Schizosaccharomyces pombe: one gene and its partners. The protein of the gene in region 4 interacts with the protein of the main gene of each other region in a biochemical or structural test. Each region holds a gene or a part of one and is shown on either strand. Other genes may lie near its edges. The genes, in order: cul1, ned8, cul4 and nep1.

What was found.
Region 1: the proteins of nep1 (region 4) and cul1 form a complex in vitro, tested with the Schizosaccharomyces pombe proteins (one study listed by BioGRID).
Region 2: the proteins of nep1 (region 4) and ned8 form a complex in vitro, tested with the Schizosaccharomyces pombe proteins (one study listed by BioGRID).
Region 3: the proteins of nep1 (region 4) and cul4 form a complex in vitro, tested with the Schizosaccharomyces pombe proteins (one study listed by BioGRID).

What each region holds. Positions count from the first base shown.
Region 1 is NC_003424.3:3,609,617-3,616,335, reverse strand, and holds cul1 (cullin 1), read right to left. Parts: upstream 4,280-6,719; 5' UTR 4,213-4,279; coding exon 4,145-4,212; intron 4,100-4,144; coding exon 4,013-4,099; intron 3,915-4,012; coding exon 3,850-3,914; intron 3,739-3,849; coding exon 3,662-3,738; exon of another isoform or gene 3,460-3,661; coding exon 1,453-3,459; downstream 1-1,452. Other genes in the region: protein slt1, read right to left, coding at 1-710; ghs2 (glucosidase), read left to right, coding at 6,597-6,719. UniProt on the Schizosaccharomyces pombe protein: Core component of multiple cullin-RING-based SCF (SKP1-CUL1-F-box protein) E3 ubiquitin-protein ligase complexes, which mediate the ubiquitination of target proteins.
Region 2 is NC_003423.3:2,318,493-2,323,005, forward strand, and holds ned8 (ubiquitin-like protein modifier for cullin Ned8), read right to left. Parts: upstream 1,804-4,513; 5' UTR 1,765-1,803; coding exon 1,747-1,764; intron 1,699-1,746; coding exon 1,681-1,698; exon of another isoform or gene 1,610-1,680; coding exon 1,497-1,609; exon of another isoform or gene 1,447-1,496; coding exon 1,359-1,446; 3' UTR 1,266-1,358; downstream 1-1,265. Other genes in the region: ATP-dependent RNA helicase Spb4, read left to right, coding at 1,891-1,925, 2,055-3,840.
Region 3 is NC_003424.3:3,450,217-3,456,682, reverse strand, and holds cul4 (CLRC complex subunit, cullin 4), read right to left. Parts: upstream 3,739-6,466; 5' UTR 3,628-3,738; coding exon 1,423-3,627; 3' UTR 936-1,422; downstream 1-935. UniProt on the Schizosaccharomyces pombe protein: Required, indirectly, for activation of ribonucleotide reductase through the degradation of the protein spd1, thereby supplying deoxyribonucleotides for DNA replication and repair. Also has a role as a scaffold for assembling ubiquitin ligases.
Region 4 is NC_003423.3:3,301,289-3,307,072, forward strand, and holds nep1 (NEDD8 protease Nep1), read left to right. Parts: upstream 1-3,246; 5' UTR 3,247-3,548; coding exon 3,549-3,576; intron 3,577-3,656; coding exon 3,657-3,711; intron 3,712-3,785; coding exon 3,786-4,965; 3' UTR 4,966-5,265; downstream 5,266-5,784. Other genes in the region: U6 snRNP-associated protein Lsm5, read left to right, coding at 16-40, 142-265, 312-378, 427-453; psl1 (pho85 family cyclin), read left to right, coding at 2,018-2,749; synviolin family ubiquitin-protein ligase Hrd1, read right to left, coding at 5,266-5,784. UniProt on the Schizosaccharomyces pombe protein: Protease that catalyzes two essential functions in the NEDD8 pathway: processing of full-length NEDD8 to its mature form and deconjugation of NEDD8 from targeted proteins such as the pcu1, pcu2 and pcu4 cullins and other proteins.

The DNA of each region.
Region 1 (6,719 bases), on a different chromosome or scaffold from region 4:
TCGGTGCGAGAAAGCTCCTCATCAGAAACACTAGCTTGAGAAGACGTTTTGCTTCTATTTGGTAGCGTATTAAGCTCAGCAACGTCTGGGCCACTTTGTTGTTCAGGTGCATTGTCGTTTTGAATAAATATGCGAAATGGTTGAGATTGTTGAGCACCTGCGTACTCTGATGTAGAGTATGGGCCAGTTTGTTGGTCAGCGACTTCAGCTTGGGATTCCGAAGACTCTTCAGGAGAATATATTGTGTCTACGACTGGATGATGAATAAACATTTGCTGGAAATTATTTGGCACTACAAGCTGCATATTGGGTGAATCGGAGACAAGTATTCTGCGTAGCAACTTTCGAGCCGCCTTTTCCCTGCGATGAGCTCTTTCACGCTCCTCATCCTCAAATCGCTTTCTGATTATAGTCCGTACAACATTTTCAAAAGCTCTACGCTCTTGCAGTTGCTCCAAATAATACTCTTGCAAACGAGCCTCTTGTTCCCGTTCATGCAAGTATTGACGGAATTTTCGATGTTGAATTTGCTGGAGCACTTCTTGCCTTGCATCCTCAATTGCCTTCTTTCGCAAAGCCAATTGTTCTTCTTGGCGTTGAATCACTTCGATTTGTTGATTCAGCTCTTCTAAGGCCATTTGAAGGCTGTGGTCTTGCACATTTTGATATTCATTACCATGTACATCTATAAGATGAAATAAAGTCGCCATTATGCTACGATTCTCTTCCTAGTATTTTTTTTCAGAACGATATGTCAAGGAAGATGGTGTGTTGAAGAAGAATGAGCGAACCGCGATGTTTACTCATTTATGTCATACTATGGTGTTGGCACCGGAATGTACCGGAATCATCCATTTCATCCATGAACACTCCAGCAACACCTGGAAGTAGTAAATCAATAAAAACGTTAAAATTGCCTTAATTAGTCTGATCAATTAATTTTTTTTAATTTGTAAGCACCATTTCGTTCTTCGTGCTGAATAATCAATATATGTCTTTTTTAACAGAATCAAGCGATTTGCAGAGGAAGACGAAGACGACAATTGACAATAAATGTATTATATAAAACATATCTTTGACATCCTTTCACAATTTCAAGCATCTGTACTTCGTGAAATGGTGCATGTATGTGGTCGATAACTGTTTTCTTTTCTTTTTCATTGTACGACTTATCCACGTAAAATGATGGGATAATAGAAGTTTGTTGTTGCTATCCAGTAACTAGTAGTAAAAAAAAGTTGCATAGCTTGCATGTAGCTAAGCTACACATTTCTTCAATGGAGTGGTGACTTTCCTACGTTATTAAAAGCTTAGTTTCAATGGATTAAAGATCACTAGCAGACAAGAATGTAAACAAAAGAAAAAAGAAAATTCGTATTGCGTGATTAATTACATATATAACACTCGAAAAGTATATCATTTTTTTTGGAGCATTTCGCGGAGATGTTTCTCTCAAGCAAGGTAAATGTATTCATCGCGGCCTTGGCGTTCCAGGTACTCTTTTTCGATTAACATATCTATACATTGCTTAATATCAGACACTTTAGGAGTAAATCTGCTTTTAATTTGATCAATAGTCTCTTTCACTAACACTACATGTTTCAATGTTCGGCGAGCCTTCATGATACGGACGATAGCGGATTGAAGCAGTAACTTTCGATCTTCTTCTATAGTTTTATGAGTCTCCAGAGATTCCTGCTTTTGCTCAGATCTAATTGGGAGATTTAACTGTACCCGTATCTTTTTCATCCTAAAATTTTCATTGATCTTATATGTGCTATTAGGATCACCAAGCTTGTCATTGTCGCCAAGGAGAAGCACCTTTGCTTTTAGGAATATGTTCAGAATCCCTGTCAAGAAATCTGTACTTAACCCAGTTATTTTTGCCAGCTCCTCATATGTATAAGAATCGCGATGGTTGTACAAAAGCAAAACACCCATTTGATATGTAGAAACTTGAAACACATAAGTGACATTAGTTTGAGGGTTAATGCGTGCCTTTATTTCTCCTTTAGAGAGATGGAACAACCAGCTTAACTTCCTTCCGTTATGGCAGCTATAGTAATAGTTTTGGAATCCTTCATACAAAGGAACTAATTCCTCTGGCAGATGAAAGTTCACATTGTTGGGAGATAGAGGCCAAAACGATGTACCAAGTACAAGAGCAGAGAAATCTATATTTCCAGCACGTGACTGAGGGAGTTGCCAAAACGCTTCGGTAATCTCTTGAGACAAGGAGATGTCTTGAAACATACGCTGTAGCTTACTAGTATATTCAAAACCGCAGACTTCCTTTAACTTAGATAGCATGCTAGATTCAGCATCCTGGGAATTAGAGGTACCATTCACAAGTCGCTTGGCTAAAAGCTTAGTATAAAAGTTTTGAAAAACATCCTTGTCTTCGACATAACGAAAAATAATGATAATCGACGATAAACAGTCTTCAACATCATCAATGTCAACATTCTTGTTGCTTTTTCGCAAAATACTGTCGGCGTATTTAGCAAGCAACTCTGGGGAGCGAGAGGAAGAGCGCTGGCAAACAACATTTCGATTGACAAGTTCTCTAAAGGCTGTATCCAATGACTTTGTAAAATCAGTATCCCCATGAAATGCGGTGTTAACAAGTTCTTTGGAAGCTTTATACGTGGAAAGTAACATTTCCATATACTCTTTAGGATCCACATCGGCTTCTCCACCGACCTGGGGAACAATTTTGGCAACCGCAGCAAAGCCTGATCTCTTGACAAACTCCTCAAATGTCTGGCGTAAAGGCTGCAACCCATTAGGTGTTCGAGACATCAATCGGTACATGCGAATGATATCCTCACTGCAGTTTTGGTCGAGCATGCGTGCAAAGTCGTTGTGCAAAACTTCTTCATGTTGTGCAATTAGTACATCTTCAGTCGCTTCTAAAAGCGGCTTCAATGTGGATTCATGCAAATATAATCTCACAAGCTCTTCCTCCTCTGCTAGTCTTATTTCTGCCTTTTTTAAGTAATCCGTAATAGAATGGGAAGCCAAGTATTCGGAAGACTCCTTTGCATAAAAGTTTTTTGTATTTTCAATAAAGTTTGTTTCGAAAAAAGTTTTGTATGAGCTCAAGTTAGGCTTTGTCATATCGGTTTTATCAAAGCTCAATGAAGTGATAGAATCCACACAAACTTCCACATATTTCATATCAGTAGGTTCATATAATCTTTTTTTGGTGAACATGTATAACAAATTTTGAAGTAGGCTATCGCGAATGTGGGAAAAAACGTGATGATGCCATGACACAAGACAAAGTGTGTAAATGTCGTACACGAGTGTCTCAGTAAATCTGTTCTTCAGTTTAACCCAATATCTATTTAAATATCCAAAAAGATGGTTGATAAAACGGGCAGATGTTGTAAATCGCGTCCAATACTTGGCATACGCAGCGAGTTGCTCTTCATGATTCGTTTGCGAAATGCATTCCTAAAGCGCCAATTAGCACGAGAAAAATTACCACATAATGCAATTTATTCCTTAATCATAATAAAAGACCAGATGCTTATGCTAGCACTCTTTAAAATGTCCAGAGAAAATGTTTAGAAATTAAAGAAAACTGCTGAACACTCGAGGTGCAATGAAATCTTTGTCGTAGAATTATAAATAAAAAACCGATATTTAAACTCACCTTTCGCAGACGGGCCAAATACTCTTCCAGATATAGAACCAAATTATTGTAAAGGGCTTCGCCTAAAACGTTTGCAGCTAGCACATACAGTTAGAATCCAGTGAAAATAATCATAAGAAAATATATGTAGTTCTTCTTTTTGACAAATTCTGAGTCAAAATATAAATTTTTATCTATTTTTTACGTACTTTGATCGTTGAAATTGTCCACCGTTATAGTTTTGGACGCATCAGCACAGTAGTTATGGATTGCTCTAAAAATAAAGTATGTAAGTATATAAATATAGGTGCCATGAAATATCTGATAACTAATATACTAGTATTCAGATCTCAAAATATTGGACTAACTTACGTATAAAGCTCCATATACTTAGTGATAGTCATTCCTTCATCTAGCCTTTCAAATATTTGGGACACACCTGTTTTTAAAAAGTCCCAACTGCATATAGATCAGCAATCGTCAATCAGTTACAATGTAACATACGTTCCATTCAATGAATCATATTTTTTAACAATCGGGAGGTCTTTATCGTTGGTATTCAAAGTAGTCATTAACCAAAATGGTTATAAATGTATAACAAGTAAAATATATTTTATTCAGCACACAATTGCTCTTTCTTAGATGGCAGATAGAGTAAACGTAGTAAATAGTAGCACTGATCCTTTCAAGAACCTACAGGTAACGACGAAGTGAACGAAGGTACAAGAGGTAGCCAGGTGTACGTAGCAAAAGCTCATTATAAAAGTGCTTTATAAGATTATATTTAATATCTAATTTTTTTTTAAGTAAATAATTATTATATTAAAAAATTCTTCATTAACGCATTTATTATTATGAAAACAAAGACATAAAGCCAATATTTATCAACATATACATGAATATGCCAAAGAAATCCTTTAAATTTGAGTTATTGTTCTGCCAAAAGAATGATGTATGCGATCCGCTGGATATTGAGTGCTCGATGCAAATACACATATGGTGTAAAAGATATCTCTGACAAGTGTATAGTAATATTGTACTAAATGAAAATCTCAAACCCATGAAATATTTACAAATGTTGAAAAGGGTTTAATTTGGACCTCAAATAGGTTGACATTTTCAATGTGGCCAACATAACAGGATGCTCTTTCATAGATGTTGTAAAACAGAAATACTTTTCCTTCTCTTTCTCAAACGCGCTACAAATTACCTCTTCATACCATCTTTTGAGCACCGCCATCTATTGTTTACCATCAGAGCCTCATCCTCAAACAATTCTGAGTGCCGTTAACGGTAGCCAATTCCTAAGTAAAATTGTCGCAAAATGTTGATGCATCAAAAGCGGCCTCAAATTGAACTTTTTATCATTTACCTACTAAAATAAAAGTAATAGAATGCGCTTGGATACGCACGTTTGGAGTCTGCTTTCTATATTCACTTAGGAACAGACGAATTATTATTAATTCTGAATAAGACCAAAAATTATTCTCAATTTCATAACTAATTAGCTTCCTCCTTTATCACTTAAACTTGCTTGCTTTATTTTTTTTATTTTTTTTTACAATTTAGGTGTTTTTATATTCGTAGAATGGCAATAATGAGTTGAAAACATTCCATTCTTCGCTAACCACCTTTCCCCCTTTAACGCGTGGCCAGCATTGTTCTACTTTGCTCACTTGACTATTTACTTACATATTTTTTTGTTTAGTATTCCAATACAATCAAAATATCTGTAATTTGTTGAGATTCTTTCTAAAAAACAAACATAATATCTGTTTCTCTCTTTTATTTGCTATTATATCCCATTTTCTCCGTTTTTATGAACCTTGAACCTTCAAGTTTCTATGTAATTATTCAATTTCAACATAAGAAACTCTGCAAAAAAGCTATTTACATCACTGCTTCGTCTTTTGAATTCCAAAATTTTTTCTAGAAACTATCCGCTCATCTTTTCTTTGCAATCCATCATCAATTTCCACACTAATAGTCAAGAGTGTTTATATACTGTGATATTAAGAGATATATTTTAAAGTAGTAATCCATAGTCATTATACAATCTTCTTATTATTTTAGGCCTTTCTTCTTTCTTTTGATTTCTCTCTCCATAATTTTATCTTAATCGACTTTTTCTCAGTTATCTTATTGGGGGAGGATAACTAACCTTTGTCTCCAGTATTTACTTAAAATTTCGTTATAAATAAGCTAGTTCAGCTTGTGCTATTCAAACCGCTGTCTTTCTGCTTTCCTGTTTTTTTCTGTAAACAAATCCTCTTTTTTCTCAAAAAAAAAAAAAAAAAAAGAAAATACTTGTTTTATGAACTGACCAAACTTTATTTCAAAAAAGTTACTTGGACTTTTAAGTCATTAATTTGGCTTTTGTTTTTAATTTTTTTTTCAACACTTGGAAGGTTAACTATCCATTTTAAAATCCTGTTCCTTTTATTAATCTGTAAAAAGAATACCTAGTTGTTCTTTCATTCAAGTCTTTTTAAACTTCCGCCGACTTTGCCTCGCTATTGTCCGCAAACAACCATTTGGAGTTTGCCTAGTCCTATATACTACCTTTCCGTATTTCCACCTTGGTGAGGTACACCAGCGTTCCAAAATCGCTACAAGTATTCATTCTTTTGTATTTATTTTTTAAATACTTTGTGCGTTTACGCGAAAAGTGCTTTCGAGCACTTTACAAGAAAAAGGAAAATTTTCAAGTGAATTAGCTTTCGTTCTCGAGATTGAGGCTCATCATCTTTTTCCTTTAGATTCTTTTTGTTTTTTGTTTAACGTTTTTTTTTTTTTTTTACTTGCTGGAAGTATTTTGAAGACTATTTGCTGTCACAACTCAGCGAAGACTTTTTGTGGTTACGTGTCTAAGCGCGAAATCTTCTTTAACTAAGCTTTCTTTTCATTCATTTTTGTTCTTCTTTCTTGGGATTTAACTGGTTTCGTTGGATTTATCATGTATAATGTACGTGGCGATTTAAATCGCAAAACCCCTTCGGATGGTAACGTGAATGAGATTGGTTCTATGTACGCTTCGAGAGACACCAGTACTTCTTCTTTCACAAATCCCACCGATTCC
Region 2 (4,513 bases), 980 kb from region 4:
TTTAATCAAAAATTTAAATAGGTGAAATTATAGCACTTAGTAAGCTAGAACTACCGCCAGGCGGAGAAAAGTGCTTAGTTGCGATCATAAACATTACTCTTTAATACAATATTTTTTAAATTATTACAACATTAATTCAATAAAAAAAGATTAAAAATTTGGGAAACCAATAAAAAAAATTATAATTTAGCATCATTTTTCCCTCTTTATTATATTTTATTAGAATCCTTATTGGAAAATAGAAGCTTTCAAAAAATCTGTAGCCGAACAATTTGAGAGATTTTTTTTTTTTTTTTTTTTTTTTTAATAACTTTAAAAAACACCTAATGAAGTTTATAAATCCTTACCTTTGTTGATTAAACTAAAGTTACTTTAATTTGTTCTTAAATATACAGCCCAAAGATTTTTGGATGGATTTTTTGTACTCACGATTATAAAAACTAGTACTTCAATCTTAAGATTACATAAAACTTCGAAAATCCGGTTATCAGAATTAATTTGAAATTAAGAAAGAATATCATTTTTTTTTAATTTTTATAATAGTAATTTGGCTTTATGCAGACTATTTATAATTAAATGAATCTCTCTTGCTTTTAAATAGAGCAGTTCCTTAAAGCCGATGTCACTTTCTCATAAACAAAAAAAATTTAAAACTTCTTAAATAGAAAAATGAGAATCAATACATTGAAATGGCAATTTATAAGCATATTGATTATACTTTCCTCCTTAAAAATGTAATTTATATAGATTTACATGTATATTTCCTTTATATATGTTTAAGTGGCACCCCTATCAATGTGGCCGTTTGGTCTAGTGGTATGATACCATCTTAGGGTGATGGTGGTCGTGGGTTCGATTCCCACAACAGCCCATGTTTTTGCTACATAGCATTTTGCAGTTAGTTTTATTTAAACAACATTTTCTTTTAGTCTTACTAGAGATTTTGCGTTTATGGTAATTACATTCGATGTTGTACTGAGGAAGTTTTGCTTCGCATGCTACTGCTTTATATACTTTGATATCAGATGGGAATGCGCAAGCAATTGTTGTTATATATTGACTTTTCTGTGCAAAACGTCTCTTTACGACTACTTTACTCATAAATTAACAAGAAGTAATCAATCTTATCGCTGAAATTCATGATCACCAAAACGTCTTAAGTTTAGAAAAGCTTAAGCAATATTTTTATACAAATCAATAGATTCACATAAAATGAAACAGAGCAATAATAAAGCGACTCAATTCTCATTTCGTTACTCTTAGTATTAGTAAAACAGTAAAAAGATTTCGTTTATAGCGTTAAATAAAAGTATGATTTTTTATACATAATTTTTCTTTATAAATAAAGTATGCAACAACTAGCAACTTCCTCCACGAAGAGCTAACACAAGATGCAAGACGCTGCCTCCTTCTAAATGATAACTTTCAGCATTTTTATCATCAGCCCTACGTGATGTTTGTTAGAATCATTGTATGGATGTTCCCATAGTGCTTACATTTGCTTTCCAGCGTAGATCAGACGCTGCTGTGAAGGAGGGATACCCTCTTTTTCTTCAACCCGTTCTTTGATCCTAGAAACCTTGTCATTTGGATCAATGTCTAATTCGATCTTATATTTTGGTTAGAAACATAGATGAATTATAACTGCATATAAATGTTTTCAACATTTAAAACACGAACCTCTTTCCCTGTCAATGTCTATGATTATATATTAGTATACATAAAAAAGAAATAAATTTATCTTACTTTTACTTTGATAAGCATGCTAACTTTTATAAACGCTTTTCTGAAATTGTTGTGGTTAAACGCTAGCAGTTCCTCTCTCTCCCTATAAGCATTCCCCTCTGGCTCACCTCGCGAAAAATTGAATTGGTCTTCAAAGAGGGGACAATGAGTTTTCAGAGTATTAATATAGATAAATGGCTGTAAGTTTTCAATTCTAAAATAAAAATTTTAGGTTCTGCTACATGTTTAACCTGTTCAAAAATTTTTATTATCTAAATGATACCAGGATTTTGTCAAATCAACAATTTACAAGCACTAACATAAACTAGAAAGAACGCCGTAGCTGCTCAAGGATTTAAAAAAATGACACCCGTTCAGGCTAATGCCATACCATTATTTTTGAAAAATAAAGATCTGGTAGTTGAAGCAGTAACGGGTTCAGGCAAGACTTTGGCCTATTTACTTCCTTGCTTCGATAAAGTCACTCGTAGAGATACGGACGAAACAGGTTTGGGTGCATTAATTGTTGCACCTACTCGTGAATTAGCTACACAGATATTCAATGTTACCAAAGAGCTTTTGGCGTACCAACCAGACTCTTTGGATGGAGGGAAAAAACTCGTTGCAGATATGTATATTGGGGGAAAGGGAACGCTCACGAATGATTTAGCTTCATTTCGGGAAAAAAACCCCTCAGTGGTGATTGGTACACCCGGTCGATTGAATGAAATGCTTTCTCATATATCCAGTAAGCATTTGGAAATACTAATATTAGACGAAGCTGATACCCTTATTGACATGGGATTTCAGCGTACATTACAATCCATTATATCTCAACTTCCGAAACAACGTCGAACTGGGTTGTTTAGCGCAACAATGAATGACACTGTGTCATCATTTTTAAAAATTGCTGGCCTTCGAAATAGCGTACGTGTTTCTGTGACAGTTACATCAAAAAAAATTGATACAAGAACACCGTCAAGTCTAGCTATACAATCTTTAGTGATTCCTCCCATATACAAAGTACAATGTATGATACATTTGCTTTGTACGATCGAATACGAAAAAGCAATTGTTTTTTTTTCTTCTTGTGCTTCTGTTGAATATTTTAACTCCCTTTTTCTCACTTATAAATTACCGTTTGAAATAGTAGCTTTGCATGGACAGCAAGTTCAGTCGAATCGATCACGTAATTTTGAAAAATTTAAGAAATCAAATAAAAAAACAGTTCTTTTTACAACTGACATTGCTTCCCGGGGTCTTGATATTCCAAATGTTGACTTTGTTCTTCAGCTCGACCCGCCTTTGGATCCGAAATCTTTTTCTCATAGATGCGGCAGAGCTGGTCGCGCTGGTCGAGCGGGTGTTGCAATAGTTTTGTTAAATGATGGAAGAGAAGAAGAATATGAGGAATTGTTAAGGGTTAGGAAGGTACCTATTACTCGTATAGACACTCCAATTGAAGCTTTAGATCTTTCACGACTTAAAGTATTAACCCACGAATTGAGAAAAATCGTATCCAAAGACAGAGATCTATATGATAAGGGATTAAGAGCGTTTGTTTCACATGTTCGTGCGTACACAAAACATCATGCGTCGTTTATTTTTCGTATCAAAGATTTGGATTTGGGACAGTTGGCCACGGCATACGCTTTATTACATCTTCCAAAAATGCCAGAGTTAAAAGACACCGAAATATCCGAAAATATTTTTAAAAAATTTGACATTGATTATGCAACCATACCATACCGTGATCAAGTACGCGAGCAGGCCAGACGACGCCGATTGGAAGTCGAAAAAACTGAACCCAAAAAATTAGCTCGGCCAGCAAAAATTAAGAACGAAGCTTGGTCCAAACAAAAGGAAGTAAAGGAGAAGCGTAACACCCGACGTGAAAAAAGGAAATCCAAGAAAGAATTTTTGAAGGCACAGAAAAACGAAGCTTCTAATAACCTGAAACAAGAAATAGTATCAAAAGCTGGAGCACAAGAAACGGAAAACGATGACTTAATAGATGAGGAATCGGATGCTTTATCTGAATTAGAAGAGGATTACCGACAGTTGAAAAAAAGCAAAAAAAGAAAAAATCAAGCATCCTTTGGATTTAGTATGTAGCAATGTATTTTTAGGGAATGGAAAAAAAAACGGGGTTTTGGAAATATAGGAAAGTCTTTTAGTATTTTTAAATATTTGAGAACTTGGAAGATTAATTGGAGTTGTTCAGCAAATATTAAGTTCTTATTCATCAGCATTTATTTTTGAATTACTGCATTTGTATATTTACTTTACATTTACAACGATTACTTAACAAATTTGTGAAAAATGCAATTAAGCGTTTATCTACACATAATTCTGCGATCAATTTGATATTTAAGAAGTAAAATACTTTAAGCAACTGAAGCAGTAGATACATTCAATAAATTTAGATTACATTTCCACAATTAATTCCAAATTTTTTTTACTAAAATCTGGTTAAGGATATCATATATATATTTTACTAATTACTTATAGTGCTGTCTACGGCCATACCTAGGCGAAAACACCAGTTCCCGTCTGATCACTGCAGTTAAGCGTCTGAGGGCCTCGTTAGTACTATGGTTGGAGACAACATGGGAATCCGGGGTGCTGTAGGCTATTCCTAACTTTTTGCTAGCCTTATTGCAATAAGGAGGTCAACTCAGTTATTTATTTGGACGAACCCAGCGCCTATTTCGATTACTATTGACAAACTACTTCTATTGGATCATTTATTTTGCGATTCTGAAATTTTTTATATGCTTTTGTATAA
Region 3 (6,466 bases), on a different chromosome or scaffold from region 4:
TTTTAACGACAATTTAATACACGAGCGAGACTATTTTGATAAATTGTACGGGCGGATCCGTTTGCGGACTTTTAATGATGACTCCCGTAACGCTGACGACATGTATCTGCACAGCGATTCATGGCCCGCCTCTGTGAAAGAGGGAGCGACCATTCAGCGATTCCAGCCGCGTCCGCTACAACATACCGGACATTGTTGTTTCTTGACTTCGATTAGCAATGTAAATAAATAGAGACGCTCAAAAACACCTACAAAACCGATAGTTTCAAAAACTCATATACAGTTGCTTCACCTCAAAAAAGGTTCTACCTTTAGTCATGGTCACAGGGGATTGTGGGGTGCAACTTTTTCACAAACTCTATGCATGCGCAGCGGCGTAACCGAAAATTCCCTCATTGCATCTAGAGGAGCCATGTCATTATAAAGAGACGTATAACGTGATCTAACACCAAGCTCGCAAAATCTGACAGCAAAAAATACCAACCGCGTTATCTAATAATACAGTAATACACTTTAGACAACGTTAATGAAGACAGGACGCGCGCGCATCGCTTTTGATTTGTGTTTAGTCTGTTAGAAGCATGCTGGGGTAGATGTGTAGGTGAGAAGCTAGGTTATATAATCAAAGAAGATCAAGCAAACTAGAATCAATGGTAAATTCCTTCTCGTTTTAACTATGTCACTCCATTCTTATGAGGGAATTCGTGACGGACAAAACAGAAGATACCGTTTATTTGCTTTCACCTAGAACTGATCAAGAAGCTTAGAGAATCAATAACGCTAAATGTCCCAATTTCCTACGCCAAATACTTCAACTTATTCAATTTATTGCTTACATAGGAGTGTTTTGATGTTGGTTCTGAATACATCCAAACAAACACGTGTTTCAGCTACATCTACATCAAGTAACACACACATCACTGTCACTTAGAGATGTAAATAATGAATAATATAAGAGGTGTTTATGGGCAGGAAAACCAAAATAGAATACCTTGGGCTTTACAAAATTAATTAGATTTATTAAATTTTTACTTTAGATTTTGTAAATAAAGGTGTTCTATAAGTGTGATAAGCAGCACCACATTCCATCCATGTTAATCCTTACATTGGAAAATGCGGTACTTAGCGCGAACACTTTCGTAGAAGGCAAAAATGCAAGGTACAATTTTAGAATGAACTTTGGAATTGTTCCTTTTCCAAACTGATTGGAGAGCAGTGCAGACTTCCTTGAATTGGTTTCCAGATTTCAATAGCATTACTTGACACGGACAGGTAAAGAGGTGTGTGTATGAACGACATATGAGAATAGAGAAAAAAAATCCACTGGAGATTCACCAGCAAATAACAAAAAGGATGGAAAAAGAATAAACATATAACCAGAAAAATTAAATTAAATCAATTAAAAAACAAATGCATACTCTATTAGGTGACATATGTATAAATATCATTATCCTCGCGTTCTAGATACTCTTTCTCTAGTAGTTTTTCAATGGCAGTTTTCACATCAGACACCAAGGGTATTCCCCGATCCTTAACATTGTTTATAACGTATTGAACTAAATCGTCATGCTTCATTTTTTCCTTTTGTTTCATTACTCGAACGATACTGGCTTGCAACTCAAACTGTCGATCTCTCACTACTTGTTCTTGAACATCAGAATTTTCTTGCCGCTCTTCCTTTAAATAAATTTGGTTAATTTTTACACGATATAACTTATCTGTAAACTTTTCATTAACATAAAACATGGTGTCTGGACTGGGTTTTTTGCTTTTGGGAACCATCACTAATGGCCGAATGCGAGCACAACTCAAGGACTGTAATGTACGAGTCAAATCGATATCAGAGAGCTCTGTAGATTTTTTCAAATCTTGATACGAAATCCCTTCTCCACCCAAACAATTGTTGAATTGAAGTAAGACACAGGCTTGGAAAAGCGATATACTTAGTTCCTTATTGCCCAGTGGAAATCGGGCTTTTACGATGCAATGTCCTAGCGAAGCGTACCAACTGATTTTTTTCCCAACCTGCTTTGAAAGGTAAAATTTTTCAAAACAATCCAAATCCTGTTGCATATCATCTGGAAGCCGGATATGTGATTCTGGATAAGAGGGCCAGTAAGCTTGGGACAAGACGTTAACATACAAATCTCTATGAAGGTTATGAGCAGCCTTTGAGTGACGAAAAGAAGAAGTAAATTCTTTTGAAATGTTAACGTCTCGAAACATACCCTCCAAAGAGTGAGTAAACTGACTACCGCAGGTTTTCTTAAGCATATCCAGAAGCATTAATTCATTTTGCGCACTTGCAGATTTATTAAGGAGAAGCCGTTTTGCAATGTCCAGCTTGTAATACGCCTCAAAGATATCTTTACTAGCGATGTAGCGGAAAAGATCCAAAATTTCCGAAAATACTTCTTTCAGAGGCTTACCCCCTGAAGCCTGTTCGCCAACTCGTAGCAAATAATCAATGTATTTTGCAATAAGCCTAGCTGGAGCTTCTCTTTGAGATCCCTTTGCCCCATTAATGAACGTCTCGAAGGCTTTTCGCATGGCATACGAAAGGGTTTCATCATGAAGGAAACTTTCATCCACCACGACTTGTAAGAATTTGTGGAACGATAACAGCTCTTGAACCAAAGTATCATCCTTTGATTCATCGTTAACGAGCTTGAAACCAACGTCCACTAAGCAATCCGACCAGGGCTGAATTAAATATTCGGTTTCATGATTGAATTGCAGTAATGCATACAGTAGTTTACAAGAATGGGCATCCCTTTTTTCAATGAACTGACTTATACCCTTTGTGAGTGTGTCAAGATGTGAAGTAATTAGACACCTTTGAACAGTCTCTCGAATGGACTTTTTATCGCGCACAATATCAAACTTTTCAACGTAGGCATCCTCCCGCTCAAGCGAACTCATCGCATATTCCAAGTACTCTTCCAAAGGCAGCTCTTGAATTTTTTGGCTAGACTCCGTATCATAAAAACGGCTTAGCATAACTAAGTACATGGGAACAAACACAGAGCTATACATTTCCGTGCGATGTAGCATTAACATCGCATCCTGTAAATAGGCGTGATCAGTGCTTTTAGAGCTATGTAAATTTTCAAAGCTTTGGAGAAGAGAGTTCAAAAAGGGAATTTGTATGTTTTTGACTGCCATCAACTTTTCACGAAAAAGTGACAGAGACAGCTCTTCGATTGTCGGGTAATCTGGATGGTGAGAAAGAAATGTTTTGTCCATGTAATAGAATATGTTTTGAACAATCTCGACTCTTTCCAACCATTTGTTCCAACACCCTACTACTACGGTGCATGCATTAGTGTCTGTTTCAGTCCCTTCAAGCTGTATAAAAGACTCCGCAGAATCCTTTAAAAGCTGGATTCCTGAAGACATATGATGTTGTAGGATGTTAAAGCACCGAGATGCTTGATCCGCTCTTGTTAAATTTTCGACTCCCGAATATAACTCTTGGTAACCTGTTTTTAAGCCTAAACCGGCCATCACTACTTGCAAAGCCATGTTCAAACGATCTATCATCGTCACATAGTAGGTCTCTTGTCTTTGCCTCGACTTTCGTGGGTCAAAGCCTTTAACCACGATACGTTTTGCTTCTGGAGGCATAGGTGTGCTAATGTGAAATAAAAAGTAATAAATAGATGTGTGGAAAGCCTGAGCTCTTTCACTACTATAGTTTCACCTGCAAAAACCAATTTTGTGCTCAAGTAGTGACGTTCAGAAAAGTCGGTTTAGAGCAGCACATATAGACAAGGTACGAAGTTCCTATTTCACTTTCAAGCTATTTTTTTGTGTCCATCTCACTAAATAAGCCTTTTTTTTCACTTTAGAAATTCTTCAGTTTTTTAGAGATTTTCAAGCTGCGACTCATTGCAATTAGCTAACTATTGTTTTCCATGTTTATCCTCCACTATCCACAACGAACGCCAGTTGTTGAAACAATTGGGTGCTTGAGTAAACTATTAGCTTCTCTATAGTTTCTATAAAGTTTTTTATTTGTCTTTTTGTTTATATAGGTTTGAAATTACAAGGTCAGGTTGACTTGGAAAGAGAATGGCATGGAGTCAAGTCGAGATTTCCAAACCACATCTAGCATATGCTATTATAGGAGGATTTACTTCATTATTTATGTTATGTTCTTTAATTATTAAGGAAAAGCTTTTTTTGGGCGAAGCAAGTAAGTTATTAGTGGTTGCAAAGCACAATTGTTTGATTTGCGTGTTGAAACGATACTTGAATTGTTTGATTTAGCTGGTAGTAATTCCAGATTATTCTTTCGGTTTACGTTCGTTAAATAAAGAGCGATCTCTAGATATTTCAGTGTGCATATTCCACCATATTATTTTTACTCTTCAATTCTTCATATATGTGAAGCATACTAACTTAATATAGCTATGGCAACTGCTACGGGTCTCATTTTTGGTCCTTACGTTGCAAAACTGTTTGTTCCCACCAGCTGGGGTAATACCGACTACATCACCGAGGAACTTGCTCGAGTCCTTTTAGTTGTCGAAGTTTTTGCAGCTGGCGCTGAACTTCCAAGAGCATATATGCTTCGACATTGGCGCAGTATGTTTGTTATGCTTTTGCCTGTTATGATTTTTGGATGGCTAGTAAGTACTGGCTTCATGTATGCTTTAATTCCCAGACTCTCTTTTCTGGAGTCATTAGCTATAGCGGCATGTATTACTGCGACAGATCCAGTGTTGGCTTCTTCTATTGTCGGTAAAGGTAAATTTGCACGTCGAGTCCCAGGTCATCTTAGGAACATGCTTTTGGCCGAATCTGGATGTAATGATGGCATGGCAATTCCTTTTCTGTATTTAGCTATTTATTTAATTATTGAGAAACCTGCCCGACATGCTGGCCGCGATTGGGTATGTATCATTATTTTATACGAATGCACCTTTGGCTGTGTGCTAGGTGCAATAATAGGTGTAATAGCCCGTAAGATGATTAAATTTTCGGAACGTCGAGGATTAATGGATCGTGAAAGTTTTCTTGTATTCTACTTCGTTTTAGCACTATTTTGTGGTGGTATTGGTACCATCATTGGTGTCGATGATTTGTTAGTTTCTTTTTGTGCTGGTGCTGCTTTCTCTTGGGACTCATGGTTTTCGAAAAAAACAGAAGAATCTCATGTTTCCAACGTTATCGACCTTCTTCTCAATCTTTCCTTTTTTGTATACGTGGGTGCTATCATGCCCTGGCCTCAATTTCACATGCCACATATGGATTTGAGTGTATGGCGACTCGTTGTATTGGCTATATGTATTTTAATTGCAAGGAGAATTCCTGCCGTTTTATTATTTAAATCATTTGTTCCTGATATTATCAATTGGCGAGAAGCTCTCTTTGCTGGTCATTTTGGTCCTATTGGTGTAGGTGCACTGTATACTTGTTTGGTTGCACGAGCCGAATTAGAAGTACATAGCACTGTACCTGAGCCTAATGATGCTATCGAAAACCCTGAAATTCCAAACTGGTATTGCATACAAGTAATGTGGCCAGTAGTTTGTTTCCTGGTTCTAAGTTCTATCATTGTTCATGGAAGCAGTATTGCATTTTTCATGCTTGGTAAAAGGATTAATACGTTGGCTTTGTCGTTTACGAGAACAAGGGACTCTCATTTTGCTTTTAACTTACCTCGTGTTCGTCAAGGACAAAGCTTACCAATTAAAAGAGTTGATGCGTTGCGCTCCTCTGCCAACTCTATTGCTTCTTCCATAAGAAGGCGTCATCCTGTAAACATTCAAGAAGATGAGGATGCTGATATATCAACTGTCTCGCTTCCTGAAGCCGCACATCTACGGGAAGAACGTGCTGAATCACCACGCGGAGGCCACTATGACGCTGAAGAATTTCCTTCTGAAGACTATGAATCTCGGCAACCTCGCCGCTCGAATGAGGAAGATAGAGAAGAAGAAATGAATCCTGGTGACGAGACATATCTTATTGGCGAAGACTTGGTCGTTGAAGATTCTCAAGGAAACATTATTTCGCATACCAGTTCTCGAGATGCAAATGGACCTTCAATTGATGAAAAACTCGCTCAAGGGGATCCGAAGGCAAAAAGTTTTGGTCGCAAGTTTCGCAGTTTCTTACGACGTTCCTATGATACTTTTCAACGTAATTTACATGAGCCGGACGACGAAAGACAAAGGGAACCCACTCTTGGACATATTGAGAGTTCTATTGAGAATCATAGGCCTAGATACTCAAGGCAAAATTCGGAATCTCATTTGCGTGAAAATAGTGTAGAACGCCGTCGTCGTGAACAAGTTCTTACTAATATTGGGGACAGTGAAAGTGAGGATGATAACATACCCAGGCCTGGTATAGTTCCATTTTACAACGAGAACAATGAAAGCAGTAGTGATACGAGAAATGGACTCTTATCTGACAATGTTTCCGAATCGCGCAGTCGTCGACCATCGCGTGCTCC
Region 4 (5,784 bases):
CAATCCACCTCCACCATGTCGATGACAATTTTACCTTTAGGTATGTAGATTTATTAGTACATTCTAAATTAGTTTCATAATAAGAAAAGGGAAAAATTATTGATTTATGCCCTGGGTAAATCTGTTCATGCTAACAAGCAGAATTAATTGATAAATGCATTGGATCAAACTTATGGGTGATCATGAAAAGTGAACGCGAATTTGCGGGGACACTTGTTGGATTCGATGATTATGTGAATATTGTTCTAAAAGATGTTACAGAATAGTATGAAATATAATAACTTTAATTATCTTTGCTAATTTCTATGAAGTGATACTGTTACCGGCGTTACCGAAAAACACTCTGAAATGCTTTTGAACGGAAATGGGATGTGCATGGTATGTCAATGAAAATAATAAAGGAATTTTTGTACACTAACTATCTAGTTGATTCCTGGTGGAAAACCCGAATAAGTTGGTACTTGGCTATTTAACAGTCTTTTGAAGATGAAGGAAGAGTGATTTTTGTTATTATCAAACAAATGGAGATATATTGCACGCCAAATCTAGCTCATACTGTGTGCACTCCATATATGGTAAAATATCTAGACCCAAGTCTCACTTTTTACATTAATTGAACAACAAGCGTTGGTAAAGCCATGTCTTCGGATACGGTTAAATTTGATCGAGTTATTTAAAGAATTTGATTGCAAAAATAAGGTATTTTATAGGACTGGTTGCATGTTTCTGAAATGAGTGATTATTCAAAAATAAAGGCTTAATACTTCCATCCTCCATAATTTTTCCTATTAGTGATTGTATCTCAAATTATACTACCAAAATGAATTGTTATTTCAGATGATGTAAACTGTGTTAAAGTTAATTGTTTGAATGTAATCTGACTGTAGAAATTGGCATAAACGGGATATGCATAGCCTACGATGATAGCAATTTTTCTTCTAATTTGAAAGACAACATACTAAACATTGATTTGAGTAGCCTTTACAGGATCTTACTATTCAAGTTATCTCTTCCAGCCCATCTGGTTGAATCATACTGACTTTTTTTTGTTCATGTTGGCCAAAATGGGGATTTATTATGATTATACACTGGAAAAAGTATGAATATTTGTTGTTTATCATTAATATAAACTAAAGTGACTAACCTTGTTATTGTAAACTCAAAATTTTGAGAATTAGTATCTTCAGCAGTTTTATGAAGGAAACGAAAAAGTAAAATTAAAATGAAAACGAAGTTTAATACTTTGGATTTATATATCTCATCATTTATACATTTGGATTATTAAGAAATTTTTGAATCCTCTCTTCCCTTATCCCTAAATAGTTAGAGAAAAACGACAAAACTCAGCTAAAACCATTAAACTTTTTCGTTTTAAATTCCAATCTCGTTGCTTTTAGGACTTGACTTTTTACATAGATGAAAATCACTATCGTAATGCTTTTGCTTTTTTTCTTTGATTTCTTTTTTTTGGCAGATTACAGCCGTCTTTCAATATAAACGCTATATTACTACAGTCTTTGTAAATATTATCTACTTGGTGCGCAGGCCAACCCGATTATATACTTTGATTTAAATCCCATTTAGCCTTAGAATTTTCGTAACAATAGCTCTGGACTCCTAGTAAAACTGTATTGCTTCCTGTATATTTGAATCATAACTCTTTTTTTTAAAAATTAATCGATTTTGAATCAACTAAACTGATTCTTGCGAATAATACGGATTTTAAATTGAGATATAAAAAGTTAATTTATTAATCCTTTTACATTCATCTATCTACTTGAATCAAGAAAAAGTACTATGAAGAAACGCTCGTGATTTAATCTGCAATGTTTACAGTCGAGTTTGTTACATTTCACTAGTGCTTCATAAAAAATTAGCGATCTAAATAAGTGCACGCAACGTTGTATTCCGGTTGACAAGAACACGCAAGATTTCGCAATAACTTAAAGTCTAGGATTGGCGTCACAGACAGTAAAGACGTATTCGTCCATTTACCAAACATTTTTATAATAGTCCTATGTCCTTGGCGTTTACGCTTTTAACCTCAAAAGATAACACAGATGAAGATGAAGAACACTTGGAGCTTTCTTCTTTTAATCAAGAAAAGCTCTTGGAAATGATATCTGTGTTTCTCTCGCGTCTAACGCGTTTGAACGATAGCAAGCAGGAAGCTACTGAATCAGATCAAATACCATTATCTCCAACAAGTTTAAAGAACCCTTGTTTGATATTTTCTGCAAAAAATGTGCCTTCCATATCTATTCAGGCTTATCTAACACGAATCTTAAAGTACTGTCCTGCAACTAACGATGTATTTTTAAGTGTTTTGATTTACCTTGACAGAATTGTTCATCATTTTCATTTCACTGTCTTTATCAACAGCTTTAATATTCATCGTTTCTTAATCGCTGGGTTTACGGCCGCAAGCAAATTTTTCAGCGATGTCTTCTATACTAACAGTCGCTATGCAAAAGTTGGTGGTATTCCCTTGCACGAATTAAATCATCTGGAGTTATCTTTTTTTGTGTTTAATGATTTCAATCTTTTTATATCTTTGGAGGACCTTCAAGCATACGGTGATCTTCTACTTTCATGGTATCGGCAAAATGGGCAGAATTACAACCCTACCGATGTTTCATGCTCTATTGAATCTCCCATTTCCCATACTCCGCAACAAAATCAACAAGATGAACAGCCACGTCGGCCCATAATGGATCGAAGGTTACTCTCTTCTCACTCAATTGGTTAAATTTACTACTGTGTTTGGTCCTCCAAATTTTTTTTTGCTTCCATCTATTTATCTTTATTTTCTGTTGAAAATATTTAATCTGATTATTTAAAACTTGGAAAAGTTACCTTGGTGCCTTTTGTCTGTATATATATATATTTCATTCTGCTGTGTCAATGTGGATACGACTAGTTTCTGAATTTTCAAGTGGCCTTTAAATTTTGTACTTGTATATGCTATTTCTCCTTTGTCTCTTATTTAATGTTTTTATCTCAAAACATGCCGTTTCATGAAATTCTCATTTATTACATTCGGATTATCTGACTTGCAATAAGGTTTTTGGAATTTGGAAATTGCATGCTACTTTTGTATTCGGTATTCTACTTTACGATGCTTACAACGCTTACGGTATATTGTGCTTTGGTTCCTTGTTTAAGTTAAGGCTGTTGTAAAGGTCCGCTATGATCAAAGTCCTTAGCTTACTCCGCTATCCCTGTTCCATTTGTTCCTTTCTCTTCACGTTGCAATTTGTTTATTTCTGCCGCCTACTCTGCAGTTGTTTTTTTTTATTTTAATTAAGCCGTCCAATCCTGTTTGTTTATTGAGCCTTACTTCTGTTTGGTATAGGAACGCTGTATTCCCGGTCTCTGGTTCCGCTTTCAATTCTCGTGATTTTTTTGTTTGTTTTAACCCGATAAAATAAACATTTTATTTTAACACTCGTGTTACTCTTCCGTTCGAGCTGTTTTGTTTGCGGACCTATTGTTTGTTTAAATTCCTTTTTTTCCCCATTTCGTACTTACTTTTAAACAATTTTTAAATGAGCAGTTCTCCAACCGTTCTTGAATGTAAGTTTACACATATATTGTGAAATCTCTGTCTAGAAGCGTTTAAGTTTGCTGAATAAAAACTAACTTGTGCTATTAAGTATTTGATGTGTGTTTTAAGCAGGAAGACGTGGATAGCTTAAAAAAGCCAAACTGGTAAGGAAATTTGGATACATGTTTTACTTTTACTTTGTGCATCTGAAATGAATCTTTCAATTAATACAAGCTAGGTTCACTGATGTGAGTATTGATTATGTTGACGAGTTAATTGAGCACCTATGGTTTCCCTCATACCCAAATCAAGCTAATGAAATTTTGCTGCTTCGCCCTTCGTTAGTTTTTCTACTAGCAGAAGCTGCTATTTCTCCTGAAGAGCTCAAAGTTGCTTTGCCTAAAAAGTTAATGAACTGCAAATATTTATTTATGCCTATCAATGATTTGGATAAACATGCGGCAGGAAGTGGAGGTTCACACTGGTCTTTAATGGTCGCAAGTATTCCTGATGGGCAATGTTACTATTATGATTCTCTCAGCAACGGAAAGACAAAAGATTGTCGCAGTGCCTTGGCCCGTGTTTCGGATCTTTTCAAAAAAAAATTTACAATAGAGTGTATGCCCGTACAACAACAAAGAAATGGATATGATTGTGGAGCACACGTTTGTGCTTTTACCCTTGAACTGGTTCGGCGTTTGTTACATTCACCGATGCCCACTAGCTCTATGTGGAATTTGTCTACATTTCAGCCAGATGTAACAGCTATTCGGGAGCAGTTGAGCCGTTGCTTAGACCATATAATTAACTCCTTGGGGACAAGGGTAAGCGGCGATTTTGACGAGGACTTTCCTACTGGCACTGTGTTTTTTGACTTAGAATCTCACCTTCCTCTTCTCGATGTTGCCCTCCCGGTTCTACCTAAATCATCCGACTCATCTGAAACATCACATGAAAGCTCTAACTCTAATTTGAAGAAGTCTTCAGAGTCAGGATCTACTAATCACCATAATAACCATGAAAGCGATAAGGACCTGCATCATGAAGGCCATCATCATCACCATCATCACCACCATCATCATCACAGTCATGACGATGACCCTTCCTCTCCTGCTGAGAAGAAACAGAATCATGTGCCTTCACCTTCTGAAAAGATACAAGATCATGTGCCTTCACCTTCTGAAAAAAAACAAGATCGTGTTCCTTCACCTTCTAACAACAAAGAAGATCATTTGCCATTACTCTCTGATGAGAAACTTGACAAATCTGCGATTGACAAAATTGAGCCTACGCCATTACCTTCTGTCCATATGAACAGTCATATAGCGAAGGGGGAGTTACCGAAATTTCATAATAGCACTGATAATCCTTTTCTCACTCCTCCGGAAGAACTTGTATCTGGTGATTTCCCTTTTTGATGCTACACTTGCGTTGTTTAGTTTCGAATATACAAACTAGCGGGAAGGCTTGTTTCAACTCAAACAATCTGAGTTTTATCCTATCTTGTGATGTGAATGGTTGTGTAATTTTTATCAGCAGTCGCTAAATCTTTTGCTGTTTACAAATATGTTATTATTATCACGAGTGCAATAATCGTTTGCTTAATTATTGATTGAAAAATGTTTATACAAGAGAAATTATTTATTTATTAGTAAATGACTTATCACTTCTTTATTTTTAGGTCGTTCATTATTATCAAAAAAGTTTGATAGTAAATTTCAAAAATTTTCATCCACAGTTTCTAATTGTACATTTCGTGAGTTTTGTCGATCTTCATCAGTTGCAAATGGGGATGTTTGATCTGAACTGGTTAAGATCGATGATTGATTGTCGTTCGTTGTAATGGAAGTCTGCGTATTCTCAAATCCTTCAGTCCCACTCATACCATTGGAATTTAATAGTGAATCAGCAGAAGTAGTTTGTATCCTTTCATTAATACCACTTGCAGCTTCTAACTGATTTAAAGATGTACGTATACTATTGTAATCAGCACGAAAGTTAGAAACCGTTTCTCGTAATTCATCAATTTTGGTATGAAGTTCACGAAGCTGAGAAGATATATTAGATGAAGCAGCGGGAAACGTATTAGACGTTTCATTCGACTGTGTTAATCCTCTACTCAATGGTACAACGTTGGGTAAAGAGGAGCCAAGATTATTATCTGCTGATGATGCGTTTTGATATAAAGATGTCATTGCTGAGTTGGTAGATAGAGATTGAGTATTGCTAGATACTAG